3 linked regions of the Neodiprion lecontei genome follow. The main gene of each other region encodes a partner of the protein of the gene in region 3 in a complex. Links are inferred from orthologs where the notes say so. Each region holds a gene or a part of one and is shown on either strand. Other genes may lie near its edges.

Evidence for each region.
Region 1: the proteins of protein prenyltransferase alpha subunit repeat-containing protein 1 (region 3) and synaptobrevin homolog YKT6 are in contact, whole or in part, in a crystal structure (PDB 6J7F), measured with the Homo sapiens proteins. The link is inferred for Neodiprion lecontei from reciprocal best matches to the Homo sapiens genes PTAR1 and YKT6. Residues at the interface, in NP_001093136.1 of Homo sapiens: Glu31, Gly33, Leu34, Ile35, Pro36, Val48, Val50, Glu51, Lys53, Leu54, Gly55, Ser58, Lys135, Tyr191, His225, Ser228, Met229, His230, Val231, Ser232, Asp233, Phe298, Asp301, Leu302, Ser305, Tyr306, His309; in NP_006546.1 of Homo sapiens: Met1, Ser29, Phe30, Phe31, Asn83, Glu84, Pro86, Gln131, Asn132, Pro133, Arg134, Gln180, Phe184, Arg189, Ser193.
Region 2: the proteins of protein prenyltransferase alpha subunit repeat-containing protein 1 (region 3) and geranylgeranyl transferase type-2 subunit beta are in contact, whole or in part, in a crystal structure (PDB 6O60), measured with the Homo sapiens proteins. The link is inferred for Neodiprion lecontei from reciprocal best matches to the Homo sapiens genes PTAR1 and RABGGTB. Residues at the interface, in NP_001093136.1 of Homo sapiens: Val61, Lys62, Leu65, Pro66, His69, Leu73, Arg76, Leu97, Asn98, Asp100, Phe101, Thr102, Thr103, Asn106, Lys109, Glu110, Leu113, Ile141, Arg144, Trp145, Pro192, Ser193, Tyr195, Ser199, Ile202, Trp203, Gln206, Val231, Ser232, His234; in NP_004573.2 of Homo sapiens: Lys6, Asp36, Tyr37, Cys40, Met41, Glu43, Tyr44, Ile89, Gly90, His91, Asp92, Asp136, Trp138, Glu140, Phe177, Asp178, Gly182, Cys183, Arg184, Pro185, Gly186, Ser187, Glu188, Ser189, His190, Gln193, Trp217, Glu221, Arg222, Pro225.

The regions. Positions count from the first base shown.
Region 1 is NC_060263.1:35,806,992-35,812,412, forward strand, and holds synaptobrevin homolog YKT6, read right to left. Parts: upstream 3,635-5,421; 5' UTR 3,199-3,634; intron 3,062-3,198; 5' UTR 2,868-3,061; intron 2,784-2,867; 5' UTR 2,762-2,783; coding exon 2,572-2,761; intron 2,296-2,571; coding exon 2,024-2,295; intron 1,490-2,023; coding exon 1,349-1,489; 3' UTR 555-1,348; downstream 1-554. Other genes in the region: NADH dehydrogenase [ubiquinone] 1 alpha subcomplex subunit 10, mitochondrial, read left to right, coding at 1-36, 171-281; inhibitor of growth protein 5, read left to right, coding at 4,078-4,114, 4,658-5,110, 5,327-5,421. UniProt on the Homo sapiens protein: Vesicular soluble NSF attachment protein receptor (v-SNARE) mediating vesicle docking and fusion to a specific acceptor cellular compartment. Functions in endoplasmic reticulum to Golgi transport; as part of a SNARE complex composed of GOSR1, GOSR2 and STX5.
Region 2 is NC_060266.1:23,069,379-23,073,568, forward strand, and holds geranylgeranyl transferase type-2 subunit beta, read right to left. Parts: upstream 2,471-4,190; 5' UTR 2,309-2,470; coding exon 2,306-2,308; intron 2,223-2,305; coding exon 2,118-2,222; intron 1,952-2,117; coding exon 1,595-1,951; intron 1,496-1,594; coding exon 1,351-1,495; intron 1,272-1,350; coding exon 1,096-1,271; intron 1,021-1,095; coding exon 811-1,020; 3' UTR 555-810; downstream 1-554. Other genes in the region: uncharacterized protein LOC124295337, read right to left, coding at 1-44. UniProt on the Homo sapiens protein: Catalyzes the transfer of a geranylgeranyl moiety from geranylgeranyl diphosphate to both cysteines of Rab proteins with the C-terminal sequence -XXCC, -XCXC and -CCXX, such as RAB1A, RAB3A, RAB5A and RAB7A.
Region 3 is NC_060262.1:18,725,918-18,731,614, forward strand, and holds protein prenyltransferase alpha subunit repeat-containing protein 1, read right to left. Parts: upstream 3,712-5,697; 5' UTR 3,650-3,711; coding exon 3,561-3,649; intron 2,511-3,560; coding exon 1,316-2,510; 3' UTR 634-1,315; downstream 1-633.

The DNA of each region.
Region 1 (5,421 bases), on a different chromosome or scaffold from region 3:
GCTGATCATCTCGCATATCAAAAGGTTTGGGAAAATGTAAGTATTTCAGTCTGATCTACAGATTCAACCGATTAGTTATTGATTAAAAAAAAGTAACTTCTGTAAAAATGTCACTACATTTTTCGAAAATATTTTCTTACATATGTTTATATCTTTGTTTTTGTAACTAGGCACCTGGTAACAAGTATATGAAAGGCTTCAATAAAGATATGGGAGATACGGGATTACTGTGGAAAGGGCGCCCTACTATTCGGGAATACAGAATGCCGTTTTTTTCGTAAACTAGGTGCTGCTAAAAACATAAGAAAAAATTCACAAATCGGCAGAAGTGATTACATTGTAGTGCACCGAATTGAAGTTGTCCTGGTAGACTTGTACAAACCGACAAATTACAATAAATAACATTCTATGTAATTCATACTTATGGTCAATTACTTACATTTCACGTTCCTTGGCACTGAGAGTAGATAAACATCACGTTTAGAGGAAAAAATTGGAGTGGTATTTTTTAAATTTAGACATGATATATTGAAATACTTTTTAAATACATAAATACGTACACATATTTTTTTGTTTCATCCATAATTGAACTCTTATCCAATGCCGAAACTGCATAACGGAATAACAAGTTACATTCCATTTGCAATAAGAATAACATATCAACGACAAAGAAGACGTTTAATAGACATTGGGTTACATAGATTTTGTGAAATTTCTGTTTATGTGTCTTAAAAGGAAAGGATATTAAAGTCTGTATGTATACAATCCAATTAAAATTAACCCCACTTTTTGATTAAACTGAAGTAACTTGAGTTGAATACTGAACTCTGTGACATTCTTTATGATGCTAGACAACACTGATTACTCTCGAATACAATCTGATGACGTCTTGAAAAATTATCCCTTTGCAATCAAGACACATAAAATTCAGTCACTCGTATTTCAACATTGATGGATAATATGTTGCATTAAAGCATATTGTTCATTAACATATATTAAGGATAACATTACTTACTTAGGCCTCTTTAAAAACATCCATACCTTCGGCTGCGCAATATTTAAATCAATCTTGCTCAATAGAAAATATACAAGTGAAATCTATTGGTAAGACAAACCACCTTTTGCAATCGGAGGTAAAATCCATTCAAAAATTAAAAAATTGTACATTCACAGGTAATTAATTATACCGAGGAGGCAAAATCATCTGAACAATAAACTGTTGCGGCAGGCAAAAGTTATCAATTAGCTTTCAAATTTCAAACATTACTCAACATTCTTTTCTTGACAAACCTATCTTCACATTTGTAACACAATAATATGAACACAATGGAATCATGGTATACCGTGTTTAAGCCGTCAAGCTGCAACAGGAATTGGTTTTCCGTGCTGTTTTGTAAAATGCTTTTGACTGCATGCTAAGGCCTTCTGATTTTGACACCAAATCGTCCAATTTTTCGCCCCTTTCTAAAACTGCTTCTATTGTATTATGCTGTAAGAAAAATGAATTACTGTATTCATAGAAATAGACACTTGTGATTCTTTATAGTATCTTATCTGCATCAGTTACATAATCTTTCAATACACAATAACTATCTGAAAACTAACAACAGCACATAAATGAATGCCACTGTTTACATCTCAGAAAATGAATTGGAAGCATTGCTTGCTAGACAGAGAGTGCAGTACATAAGAAAAACCTCTAGGATTGGAAAGAAAAATAGATAATGACACTACTTTGTTTGGAACATGTATTTTTTAATATTAATGCAATGATGCGACTTGAAAATTCTCTGAAATTTAGTAAGTAACAATAATAAAATAAAAAACATTATTTTTTGGCAAATTCGTCTTCTTCAAAGTCATTCTAAAGTTAAAAAACAGAGATTTTTTATAAATGATTTGTAAGAGTACTAATGTTACGAATTTCAAACTCATTTGTCCAATTATATTTCATAAACGACCAAACCGACGAGCTGAAACTGGATAACTAAGAAACTCAGTTTAAGAAAATCTTCAAACTCACCAAAATGATCTTGGTTTCATCAAGGTCATTCTGCATTTTTGTAAATGCATCTGCTTCCCGGGGATTTTGATATTTCGCCAAGTACGTATTCACTTGTGGAAATATTGTTGTCGCTTCATTTAAAGTGGCACATGTACTGGGTGGGTACTGGGCAGCAAATTCATCTAGTACTTTTGTGATCAACGTGTGCGAAACTCTGCTAGGATACTCATGATCGGAGATTAGAACGCCAGCTAAATTATCCGCTCTCACATAAACGTGACACATATACTCTGAAAGAACAGAGAAAATATGTGAACTTAGTGAGACAATCGGTAGCAACCTGAAAATAGATAATATAGAAAAAAAACAGACAATAAGCACGCACGGAGCAAAAATTAACTGAAATGAAACGGCTGTTTCAAGGTCTTTAGAAATGTTGTTAATATTAAGCAAGCAATGGTTTGTTTTTAAAAGTAGTTTCTACACCGAAACCAATGTCATTCATAATAGTTGCAGATCACGATGAAATGATATTTTATAAAGTACAGAGACTGGAAAATAAATACCTTTTTCCTTGACGCTTTGTCTGGCTGCAATTTGAGTTCTTTCAGTAATCGTTTTACTGACAAATGCCATAAATTCCTGAGCACTACTGCGTTGAAAAAACGAAAAAGATCCAAGTTCATAAGCTGATTTGATCGTTGTTGCTGTAGTTGGGCCTTTGTATAGGATGGTTAAAGCGTACAATTTGACCATTTTCGACTGTAACAAAAACAAGCTATTTGCATTGCAGTTTTTTTCTAAAAGATTATCGTTTTTCACATATCGTACACATTAACATTTGATGTAGATAATTGCTTACCTAGTGAACTCGGCTAGCCGGGAGTTCAGGAAAGAAGACTAAGAAGATACAACCGACGTAAGCCTAGGAAAATTTCGGCTCCAACTAGAACTTGACCTCCTTTCGTTACCTAGTTTTCAACTCTCACCGCCGGTAGAATCTTGTTGTCAGTCGCACTGCCAGTGTGGCAATGATCATTATTTGATTTTTCTTTCCTACAAGAATATCAAAAAATTGGACTCATTCAGCGCGATACTATGTGAAAGTAAAACAAAGTGATATGAAGTGAAATTAAGATAAGGGCAGTCGGAATTGTGTCACACAATATTTGAGAGAATTTTCTGCTTTTTACCTCCGTTAATGAAATCCTGATTCAGAGGGTAGATCCGCGGAAAAATGAACTAAAATTGTTGTTTTTGGCTCCGCCCTCCTCGGTTAAAGGCAAATGTCAAATCGCGTACCTTACCACTTACAAGCTTGCTGCGACTACTAACAGCACTGACACATCACCCACTAGAACTGCGCGTCGCAGACGGCGGGCGACGTCCGACGACACGCATACACGTAACACGGGTATGTCCGTCGCAGGGCTTGGGAAGGGGATTGTAGGGGGGATTGCAGACGGAGGTCGGCGACACGACGTTTGTTTTAAGATCGTTCAAATCAAGTTCAAATCATTCAAATTTTCACTATGATGAAGTGACGATCTCGAGTTGTATTCCGTTTGGAGAAGTAATTTTAATCAATAAGATTTAATTGAAATTATTTTACATGATAAGGATGCCCACTTTTCTTCCACACCGTCACAATTCAGCAATTCAGCGGTAACCGATGCACACTGTGCATACATATGTTATCCATATAGTTAGTCGTAACGTGCGAATGACTCAGAGTGTGTCGCCACCTCCGCTGTGTTGTGTAAACTCCCCCGCAGGCTTGTCCGAATAAAGTGTGAATAAAATCGGCCGACTGAATTATGCACACACAGTGACACTGGTCAGTTTTGTGTACGTATGTGCCAATTAGAAGGAATTCAATTTCCACCCATATACAAAAGTGAGAGAATGGAGTAGGTGTAACGATTTCAACTTTATTACTAGTGATGTGAAGTCAATAATAACAGTGTGTGGTATAATAATCGGTTCCACTATACCCTGCACAAGCAAACTTCGAGTAATTAAAAAAAAAAAACGCAAGCCCGGGGTTTCTACCGCGGTGTCTACCCTGCGAAATGACGTCCGCATTGTACTTGGAACATTACCTGGACAGTAAGTAAACTTTTATTTATGGTTGTTTAACAAGAAGAATATCGCTTGTTGTAACCACGGTCAGGTAGAATCAAACTAGACCTCTCAATATGAGGTCCCTTGAAGTTTACTTCATTAATCAGTTACATTCTTTAGCCTACCGTCAATGAACTTAACCTATCAATAAGCTAACCAACATGGGATGTCAATGAGTCGGTGTTGAAGTTAATATTTTTCAGGAAACAAATTGATGTTCAGAAGAGATATTTATGTGAGATGCTAGGACATCTGTGCCAAAATATAACGTTATTATCTTTTTTGTTATGTGAAAGTTACGTGAAGTATATTCTAAGTGCTTACACCAATAAAAACTCGTAGTTTTCCTAAATAGTTGCATCTCACATAACCATAACTTCTGATGAAAAAATTGAATTTTTTCAAGCGGGAAATTTCTTTATTCCTCTGCAAATGAAAACTATCATGTTGTAAAATATTAACATTTCATTAGAAATTGCGGGAAAACCTTACCAGTTTGAAATTCAGTCATTTTCCAACACTTTTCAGGTTTAGATAATCTACCGATTGAACTACAACGAAATTTCACATTGATGCGTGATCTGGATGCACGTGCGCAGGGGCTGATGAAAGATCTAGACAAGCTGGCTGATGAATATTTGAGAAATGTGAAAACGCTTTCGGCGGATAAGAAAAAAGAACAGTTAAATCACATCCAAAGTCTTTTCAACAAAGCTAAAGAATATGGGGACGATAAGGTTCAATTGGCTATACAGACCTACGAGCTGGTTGACAAACACATTAGAAGACTCGATTCAGACCTTGCTAGATTTGAAGCAGAAATTCAAGACAAGGCATTGAATACAAATAGAGTCCAGGAAGATAGTGCTGTTAGTAAAAAAGGCAGGAAGAAACTCAAAGAGAAAGAAAAACGAAAGAAAGGAAGTGCTGGAGCTAGTAGCGAAGACGAATCAAAGATTGCGCGCAAAAAGCAGAAAAAAGGTGTGACTAATGTTTTTTCTATCAATGCCTATGTTTACTCCTGTAGTATTGTGTAACAACTAGTTTAAATATCTTTTGATATTCAGATTTTGATCCTTCCTGTTGAATGAAAATCAAGATTATACTTTTTTTCAAATACCTTATTGTAATTGAAGATTAGTGATTTGTGAAGTTTTTCTCATTGAAACACAAAATTTAAATAAATGAATTTCTTAGGTGGATCCGTTACTTCAACTGCTGCTTCTGGGGCAGTTGGAAGTGGTGCTCAGGCAGACACCAGTGCGTTGGGACACCCAGCTGATGTCCTGGAC
Region 2 (4,190 bases), on a different chromosome or scaffold from region 3:
AAAACTAGGGTAACAATTATAAGAAGAGATTGGTTACGATGCATACTGCCGAAAAATACTGGTACCGTAATTCTTGATTTCTAGTTCAAAGACTGACTTTAGTAATAATAAAAGGTTGAGAAAAGTGACCAACATACGGCGTTACAACTGCTAATGTTCTCCATCAATTATCACTGTCAATAACACGTCACCTTAATGGACAAGGTTTGATGGATTGTACAATCATTATTCAATAATGCTGGACACGATTTTGGCCTGTAGTCAAATTACCCAAGAATTTGAAACTAAAGTAACAATCTCGAACACATTTCTGAAAATCGAACTTACATGTACATTAACTGCCGATCATTCGATTGTCTATAGTCGTGCTACATCCGTAATAAATGAATGCGTGCGTAATGTCGAATTACAAAAACGAACAAGGGAATATCAACAGGTGTTTGGTCTCGAGTAAATGCGATTAAGTGTAATAAATTGTATGATTCATCGCAGTTTTTCATGGTTAATCTATAAACACGTTTAAGTCTATATTATTTGGACGTGCATTAACCGAATAATCATAAAGGTAGAAGTTTATTACAGGTTCATCTACACAACCGACTTGCGAGAAACGAATGAATAAAATTTGATACAGCAATTCGCAGAGGAATGTTTGATAAAGATTTAAATATATTACAGAAACGGCATACAAGAATTGACAATTCTGTTGTTCGTATACTTTTCTCTCTCTCTCTCTCTCGCTTTTTCTCCCTCTCTTTCTTTCTTATTAGTCGCGTGAATGTCTTTTTGTTCACCTAATTGTTGCAAATATTAATCCACCCGTGAGGGCTTAAGACCGATTCGGTCGATCACGTACTGCGGCATACAGTACGTCGGATTTACAGGTTTCAACGAAGAGTCCGCGTCCAAGAGCGAAATGGCCGTCAGACCGAACAGCGTGTGGAAAGGGTCAACCATGTCTCCAGGGCGATCGCTGAACCCACCCGTTTCAGGATCCTGACACGCCAAGACGAAATTTATCTGGGACGAAAAATCAGTAGCGTTAAACTCGAACAACACAACAAGGAACTAAAAAGCCAAATAAACGCGTGTTACCAGCTCATTTTTGTCTATCCAATGAAGACGACCCAAAATAGTTAGCGAGGACAAAACCCACCATGAATAACAAACGTCGGGTAATTTTTCAGGTCTCCCGTTGAGCCCGCCGGATGGTAGCTGCCTTTCGCATAGCCACCAGCCCAGCTGGTCAGCATCAATTTCGTGAAGGTGTCCTTTGAGGTGAAAGGATCTTGATTAATAACAAGCATATTACCTCAAGTTAAAAAGAATAAAAAGTCGCACAACGCGTACCGGTTATTGACAAGAACGCAACGCAACAGTAAATCAAACCAGCGTGACTCTCAGAGCCTGGTTTTGAACCAAAACCACCGTCGAAATTCATGCAGCTCAAGACATACTCAACAGCTTTGTCAACGTTTATCGCATCCAGTCTACCCTGATGAAGGAAGAAACACGAAGTGAGTATTTGGATTTGCAATCACATAAATAGAAAGTCTTTCTGGTCTTGCGAGATGCTCAATTTTAGACATCTCACCAGTAACGAAAGAGTGGCGACTGCGCAGAATGAAAATCTGTTATCCAATTCGCCCCAGATATCCCCTGTGAAACTTCCATCAGGCATCTGCCTTTTTTGCACGTATTCGACGACTTTTTCAACATCTATAACATCCAGAGCATCGTACATGCACAATATCTGCACGGCGCTCAGGGTGTAAAGTAAGTGGGGATCGTGGTCAATGCTGGCACTGATTCCACCACAGTCGTGCTGGCACTTTGCTACAAATTCCAAAACCTCCTGCTTGTCCATTCTGTCCAATTGACCCATCAAATCCATTGCCGTTAGACCCCAAAACATTCCAGACATCCTGAGGTACTCGGTCATACAGAATTCCTGAATAGAAGAATTTTTAACATCGGTCAGATTGTTGATCAAATTTAATCCCATTTGCGCTAATTAACTCGAATCAAATATCCAAAGGTATTTCAGTTGGAATAAACAATCGTCATGGTTGGGTTAATCACTTTTTTATAATAAATACAATTTCCTAGGCACTTACATAATCGTCTTTGTTGTTACCATAGGAGGCTAAATAATTTCCGTGTTTCTCTATAAGTAATTTTGGAATTTTTGGTGGTAATACGACGTCTTTCATCAGCTTCGACTGAAAAATTTTTAGGTTAAATAGGGTTAGATTAGATCAGGTCAGATTCAAAGAATTGATTATATCTTAAGGATTTTCCTCACCATTCTGAGCGCCGAATTCCATTCGATAGGCAGTAAAATTAATAAGTCATCGACTTATCCATATTTATTACACAGAAAATAAGTATCACTTATGTCGCTTCAGCTGTAATCTGACGTTTCCAAAATCGTCGAAACAACAGACAACACAGACTCCCCATAGACTCTTCCTTCCCTATGAGCAGCCACCCTCTGACAAGAAACAAGTTGTTCGTTTCAACCAATTTTTAACTGATACTACAGGCCTCTCAGTAACCGACTGGAATTTACAATCTTGAAATCAGCAGATAATGCAGAGTGCTTCATGTATGACAATGTCGCATTCCATACTAACCGACAAGAAAAATTATTCTCACTGTACAGGTTTAAAATTAACCCTTAAAACATTTCTCTGGACCAAAATATGTTGAAGACGTGAGATAAAAATATGGCAATAAATATTGAAAGATAGCGATATTGAAAAAAAGATAAAGAAACATTTCAATGAAATTTTAGAGTCACCAATTTTAAGAATTGTATGAAACTGAGCTAACAAATTGTATTCCCTATTAGACAGTTATATTTAATAGGTGATACTAAATTTTCAGAAGTGTTAATTTTTTCATGCAAATATGTGAGTTTAAGACTCACTAAATTGTCGTGCATGATTCGCACAATGGTTTTACAGAAACAAGAAATTCTCTTTGATAAAAATAATGAAATAACTCACACGAATGTTAGGAAAAACATCAATTCTTCTAAATAAACAGTATGGAAATTATTCGATCACTCGACTGGAAGAAAGAACCCATCTGCGCATGGCTGATACAAAAGCTCATGTTTGCGAGATGCCGTCGCCCATGTTTCAGGCGTATCATTGACCGACGGAAATAACTTTTGTCGATTTTTAAAGTTACGAATAAACGAAAACGAGACTTCAATTCCCATCAACACAGGAGATTTTCACAGAAATTGAAATTCATTATTGTCATTGTAAATAATGATCGATGGGTGTGAATAATGATCAACTTGGATTCTCTCTGACTAAACTGGGAAAGTTCAAATTCATCACTATTCTGTATGCATGATGACCAATGAAAATGAGAATCTGTTTCTAGCTTTAAACAAATATTCACCCTGAATTATCTAACTTCTTTGATTTTGCAATGAATTTTCTGACTCCGTTCGTATTTATTTATTGTCGGCCCTTCATCTGAAGCGAACTAGATAAATTTTTTCGGCAATAGATTGACGATTATTTGTGCCAGGATAAAAACAAAAGTATTACATTCGTGTGACATGGGGAGTCACTAACTATGAGTCGCATTGTTATTAGTCATATGCGTACACACACGTATAGAAAAAAATTATCCAAAAAAAATTCGTAAGTTGGTCAAATATACGTACAACTGATTCTAACAATTCCACAAATTAGTACATTCTATAAGAGAATAAACACAAATAATCATTATGAAAATACGTTTATTGAAATAGATTGAATCACATTTGCTAGTTTCCACACCTCCGTAAACGGTAGAGCAATCGACGCGTTTTTGTTTTTTTTTTTCTCTTAGCTTGGTATCCCTAGTGGCCCTATTCGACAAAGAAGAGTTGCAGGATTTATTATACGTTCGTTGGAAATATACAGATGATTTTATCTCGCATTTCGATTTCGGTAAACAGCTTTTACTAATTAATTTCTGCTCATATATATACGCAGTTTGTTCGAAGATTTTTAGTCCATTTAACCTGCTGACTATTAACTATCAATGAAAGATGATTGCTTTAATTGTGGACGAATAATGGTTGTTTTAATTACGGATAAAGGGTGACTGCATTTATTTATACGCGATTGAAAAAAGATGTTCGCGCACACGTTTCTTCTTCTTATGCAGAGCAGGGTGGCGAC
Region 3 (5,697 bases):
AAGAGCAACTGATAGGCGGGTTCAAAAGTAATGTCCTATTTTTTTTTTATCTTCCCGCTTCGTTTTTTCGCAGGAAAGAAAGATTCAGGGAAGTTAATACATACAATGGATTTTCGAATGGACGCTAGTTGTGTGTGTGTGATCAATACTTTGTCCGACGGTATCTGGAGAACGAATAAAGGAATTAGGATGATTTGGTTTCAATTGACGGGGCATATCTTGACTCAAGATTGAACAAATTTTGTATTTCATAGGTGATATAGTTCTCGAATTATAATATAAGAGTAAAAAAAAAATTGTATCCCACCCGTTAATGTTCTATGGACTCGAAACGCACCCTAGCGAGAAGTTCTTAAGCCGCGTTCTTAGGCCCAAAAAAGATCGGCCAAATTATCCACTTATTTCAAATGCGAATCCCCAGAATTCGTATATAAATTCGTAAGACACATATTTTTAACTAATAAACAAATTATTGTCATAGTTAATATAATACTCACAACTATGTTCTCATAAATGGTTTTTGGGTCTCTGTATTGTATGCATAATTATTTGATCAGATATTTTTTTCACTATAATAATCAAAATGGGCGCGTGAGATTTATACATGTCAATAATGGAAGTATCCAATTAATATGCATATAAATTTTTACAGTTTATTTAAAATATACAACTCTAATAAAGACTACCCTCTATACTATCTATAAACCGTGATTAGGGAACTTATCAATATGCCAGTCATAAAATCAGCTCATCCCTTAGACAACCACCTTGGCCAGGTAACTTTGGTAAACTTGAAACAATTTAAATATACGCACAACAGTAACATTCGTTCACATTCAGCGAAGGTAATTAGATACGTACATACATGTTTAACAAAAATTGTAATTTCCTTTATTACACGATAATCAAATAACGTTATATGATTAAACGACCGTTTCTCTACACCTTTTCATGGAAGTTGAACATACCTACCGATAGGTATAAGATGCAATGAAAACAGCTGACCCACTACCCCATTAACGCAATCTTACTTAGACGGGGATAGCTTACACACCAAGGCTGTGCGTTTAATCAATTAATCGTAGACTTGGAATAAAAATTTCTTTTTAAAAAAATCGATTTATACGTTTTCCAATCAATTTCCGGCGCTTTACTTGATCTTTTTTACGTGTCATCAATTAATCGGTTTTACAATAAATCGATTAATCACATAGGCCTGTTACACACCAAATACATAAACATACAATAAGGGTACACCAGTACTGTAGGTTCAATAAGTATCATTTTCCTAGAAAAATCGAAACAGCTTAAAAATTCACAATTCTAAACCAGAGCTCGTTAAAAACCTAGCAAATCTTTCGCCCATGATGTTTTGGTGACCGCCGACTTCTCTAGCTCTCGCAATTACATCCGAATTCCGCTTCCGGTACGCGGATTCCAACGGACTCTGTGCTCTGCGGTGAAATTCCAGAGTTTCAGATCCGTCTCCTTCACCGCCCAAAAGTCGGTGTAAATTTTTATCGATCAGTTCTGTTTTATAATAAGAATATCTCTCGTATGACTTGCTCATGACAACCAAGAGGTGAGAAAGAAACCTTCTGTGATACCAAAAAGACTCGTGACCTGGATAGAGATTGAGCAATTCTTCGTTAAACATACATTCTTCAGCCCAATATGAGAGACCGGTGAGGATAGAAAGATAGTCAGTGTTGTGGCGATTTTGGTGACCAGGGGTGGCGTGCAAATAGTTTAAAACTTGATAACATGGAGCAGTCAAAATATGAGCGGTATCTTCAAGTTTAACAAATTTGGCGATGGTTTCCCTGAATTTCATTTCTTGCCTGGTTATATGAGTGAATTCGTCATCAGCCTGGAGAAGCCTCTTCATCAAAAATTGTCGATAAGCAAACCCGCTGTAGTCGGATATGTGGAGACTGCACCATTTTCCCGAAGTCAGCCATTCTGACTCTAAAAATGAGGCAAAAGTACATGGAGAATATATGGCGAAGGTGGTAACAATGTACTCGCGATGATTCCAGGCGTGATAGTTGTTTGCGTATCTATCAGCGGACATCGAGGAAATGTCCACTTCGTTTTTCAGCAGTCTTTCAACATCCAACGTTTCAAGTGTGTTAGCACTACTAAACGCGAATTGGAGAAGCCAACGCCTGTAAGCGAACGCTTCGAAGCATTTTGCTTTGTAGTACAGAACAACCGCAACGAAGTGTAGTTCACCTTTCCACTCAAGTCTTCCATTCCTCACAAGTTCTCGCCGCATGTTCCAAAACGTTGTTACGTCAGGATTCAACAACAATGCACCTAGTAGCCATCGGGAAATAGTACTCGGGTCCTCCCTTTTATTGCGATTCTGACGCAATTCGAGCAGTCGATTGTATGTGTAACGGTATAGCGGTTTCACACTCCATGATGCTAGGCCTAGAGAATTATCAGCATGAAGCACTGGTGATTTGTTCTCGTTGTCCACCGCAGGTATTATTTCGAAGCCGATCCTGCCAAACATTAATGATGATATATTTACTTTTCGGTAAATAAAAATAAGCAGGTTTCAAATATTGGCATGAATTTTCTAATGCATTATAAAAATGAATGTTCCAATATTGCATACTGCGAAATATGGATTTCAAGAATGATTTGCAAGAAGTGTTCCAAAGATATTGCCTGGGCGCCGTATAAACAGCATTTGCGAATTTGCATATACTTTCTAAATTGCCGGTTATTTGAAAATAATACTATTTTTTATGTCATATTTTGAAATTGGACCGTCTATCTGGGACACTCAGTAAAATTTACGAATTCTAGCATCGAGTGAAATAAAATCAGTTCAAGGTATGATCTAGTAAAAATTTACCTAACTGGAAAGGTGATGAAATCAGGATACAATAAAACGAAAATTAATCATTTCGAATTTTATTTAAAAAATCTGTTGAGGAAGATTGGAAAAATTTGACATCTGCAAATCTAAATTACAAAAGTACATTTGTTAATAACATTAGAAAGATTACATTATCAGTCCATTCTTCAAATAAAAATGTCACAATGTTTGTCGAAGAGAAGAAATAAGCATTTTGTCTATCACAGGTCATTTACATAGATCTGAAGCCAAAAGTGGACTTAAATGTTGAAAATTTTTTCTTGCTGAATAAAATTTTGGAAACTCACTGGCAAATCGTAGAACTTTTGTAACAGAACTTTTTGCACAGATTATCATGACTTTATTCCAAACTCGTAATTTTAATTGATTAAATTTTGAACTCAAAGCATTTTAGTAGAGAAAACAAAATAATGGGGGAATGAAGTCTTGAAATGAATTGCATGCAATATCATATGAGTTTTGAGGCTGTAGAGATGGATTCTATTTCAAACTTTTGGTGATTGAACAATTCCTGGATATTAATGCATACTAATATGTGACACTTCAGCTGTGCCAGATTTGAAAAGCATACAGCAAGAGATATAGACGAAGATTAACACAAAATAATCTAAAAGCAACTTTGTATTGTCAATAGTAGGTGTATAAATTTACATAATTATGTACATACATATGTGCAAGCTCGTTTACAGTGACATACCGATAGTGCTGGGTACACGTAAAAACAGATATAGTCCGCATGATATGGATGAAATGCATAAAAAAAACTCGGATTTTCTGTACAACGAATAAATCCTGTTTGTCTGACTGTAAGAATATTCGAAAACCCCGCCCATATTGGTCCCAAAACTCACAGATTCGGATCCTTCTGCAACACAATCTCGATGTCAGAAAGTATTTTCTCAGCCGCGGGGAAAAAGTCCTCCTGCATCGTGTGACTGGCTGATTTTTGTTACATTTCTTTCAGGGTCAATGCTGAACTGGTTCGGAACACTTTCTCGTATTTTGTACGTACACGCTGCGGCACATCCGCCATGAATGATGTGAAGGTTGCTTTTTTTTTTTGCTATTTTTTCCTTCTCTTTTTATTTTCTGCGAAAGTTGTTAAAAACTGTCTGTAGTTGGCATGACGCGTCCTCGATGGTAAAATATATCGAAGATAACGCCGGGTCATCGACGATCTGAAGAAAAGGTAAGTTCCTTGACTGAAGCCAGTCACCGACAGGTATTTCCGCAGTTTCGAAATTCCCACGCCTCGTGTTCTACATTATAATAGCAATGTCATTATCACTTGAAATGCCACATAATTTTTTCAAGTATAAATATGTATTCAAGAATTTATTTTACCGCTTGGCATGATCAGCCATTTACTGTTGACGTATCTACCAAAAGCCTTCATGCGAATCCATTTTCAAGGCTGGTCGACACTGGTCGACACCACGACACGCATCAATCATGTTACCACGTAGTACTACTACTTCTCCATAGGGTTGGGTTCCGAAACTTCAGACCACCTCATACCAGATCAGTATGAGTGCGTTCCGATATTCTCCAGCTGTGCTAAAAACTCCCTAGGACAGAGCCAGACTAACCGACAAACTAGGCAGCGCAACAAAGATGAAAGATTGATGATAGCACTGGGAGCTAATATCGAAACACGGAGTAGTAGAAAGGAGGCAACACTATGCGATGAAACTTGTCCCCAGTTTTGAAGTAATGTAAATAGAATTGTCTTAATGCGATTCAAGCGCCTCTTATGGAAAGAATAAAATTTTCGCTGTAAAATGTAAAAAGGAAGGGCGCCGATCGCAACCTATAAACCTCCGTACTATATACATATTCCGTAAACTCGTAATATACGCATTTGAAGTGAGATAAAACGGATAAAACCAGTGAAAACTGAGTAATTGCAATTCTAACCTCGACCGACTTTAAATCCAAGAAAAAGGTGGCAAACGTGAAATCGAAATATCATAGGGAGGACGGAGGAGAGCGCTATGCGAAATTGATGAGCGAGAAGGATAGAATTGGAGATTAATCGTAATTAGTTTTTATAATGGCTTTGAAAGAACTTGATATTTTATTTGACTGATTTAACAGTACACGACTTTCAACGGCTTTGTTTCCATGTGCCGTTTTCCGCATTAACTTACAGACCGTCTGTTGATACGCGGCCATGATTGGTCGGGACCTGAACCACGGTCTTACATACAGGTCTGGAAACTCCATTGGAGGGGGTAGGCTAGGAGTGACTCAGATATTGAATCAATTTGTAGTTTACAGTTTCGGCACTGCGTCGCTACTATCTAGTAGGGCTGAGTTACAGAACCTCAAATTTCGTTATTAGGCTGTAGCGCGCTTGCGCCAACAGAGAGAAATTTTTTCTATCTCTGTCGCTCACAGGTGATACGGGTGACCCTACTAGGCTACAGCGACCCTTGCGGCCAATCTAAGAATTATTGAAAGGAAACTCAAGAAGCACTGTCAAGAAGTGAGTCACCCCCACCACCAGAATTTCCAGACCTGCATGTAAGACCGTGATCTGAACCCTCATTTTACACATCTATACACGGCGTTACCCGATGACGAAAGTTGATTGTTCCTCGATGTGACTTTGGATGTGTATTGCGATAGGTTGTGAAAAGTCTAACTTGTCATCTTGTCCCGAACGTTCGTTCGACGCCGTGCGGATTTCACCGCGCTTCCCATGGAGCCAATGAAAGTGTAAGTTGTATGGTCGGCGTGGTGGCGTCACGCTGAGTTACAGGCGTACAGCGAATCGTATTCATTTTGGTTGTTCTCGGTGC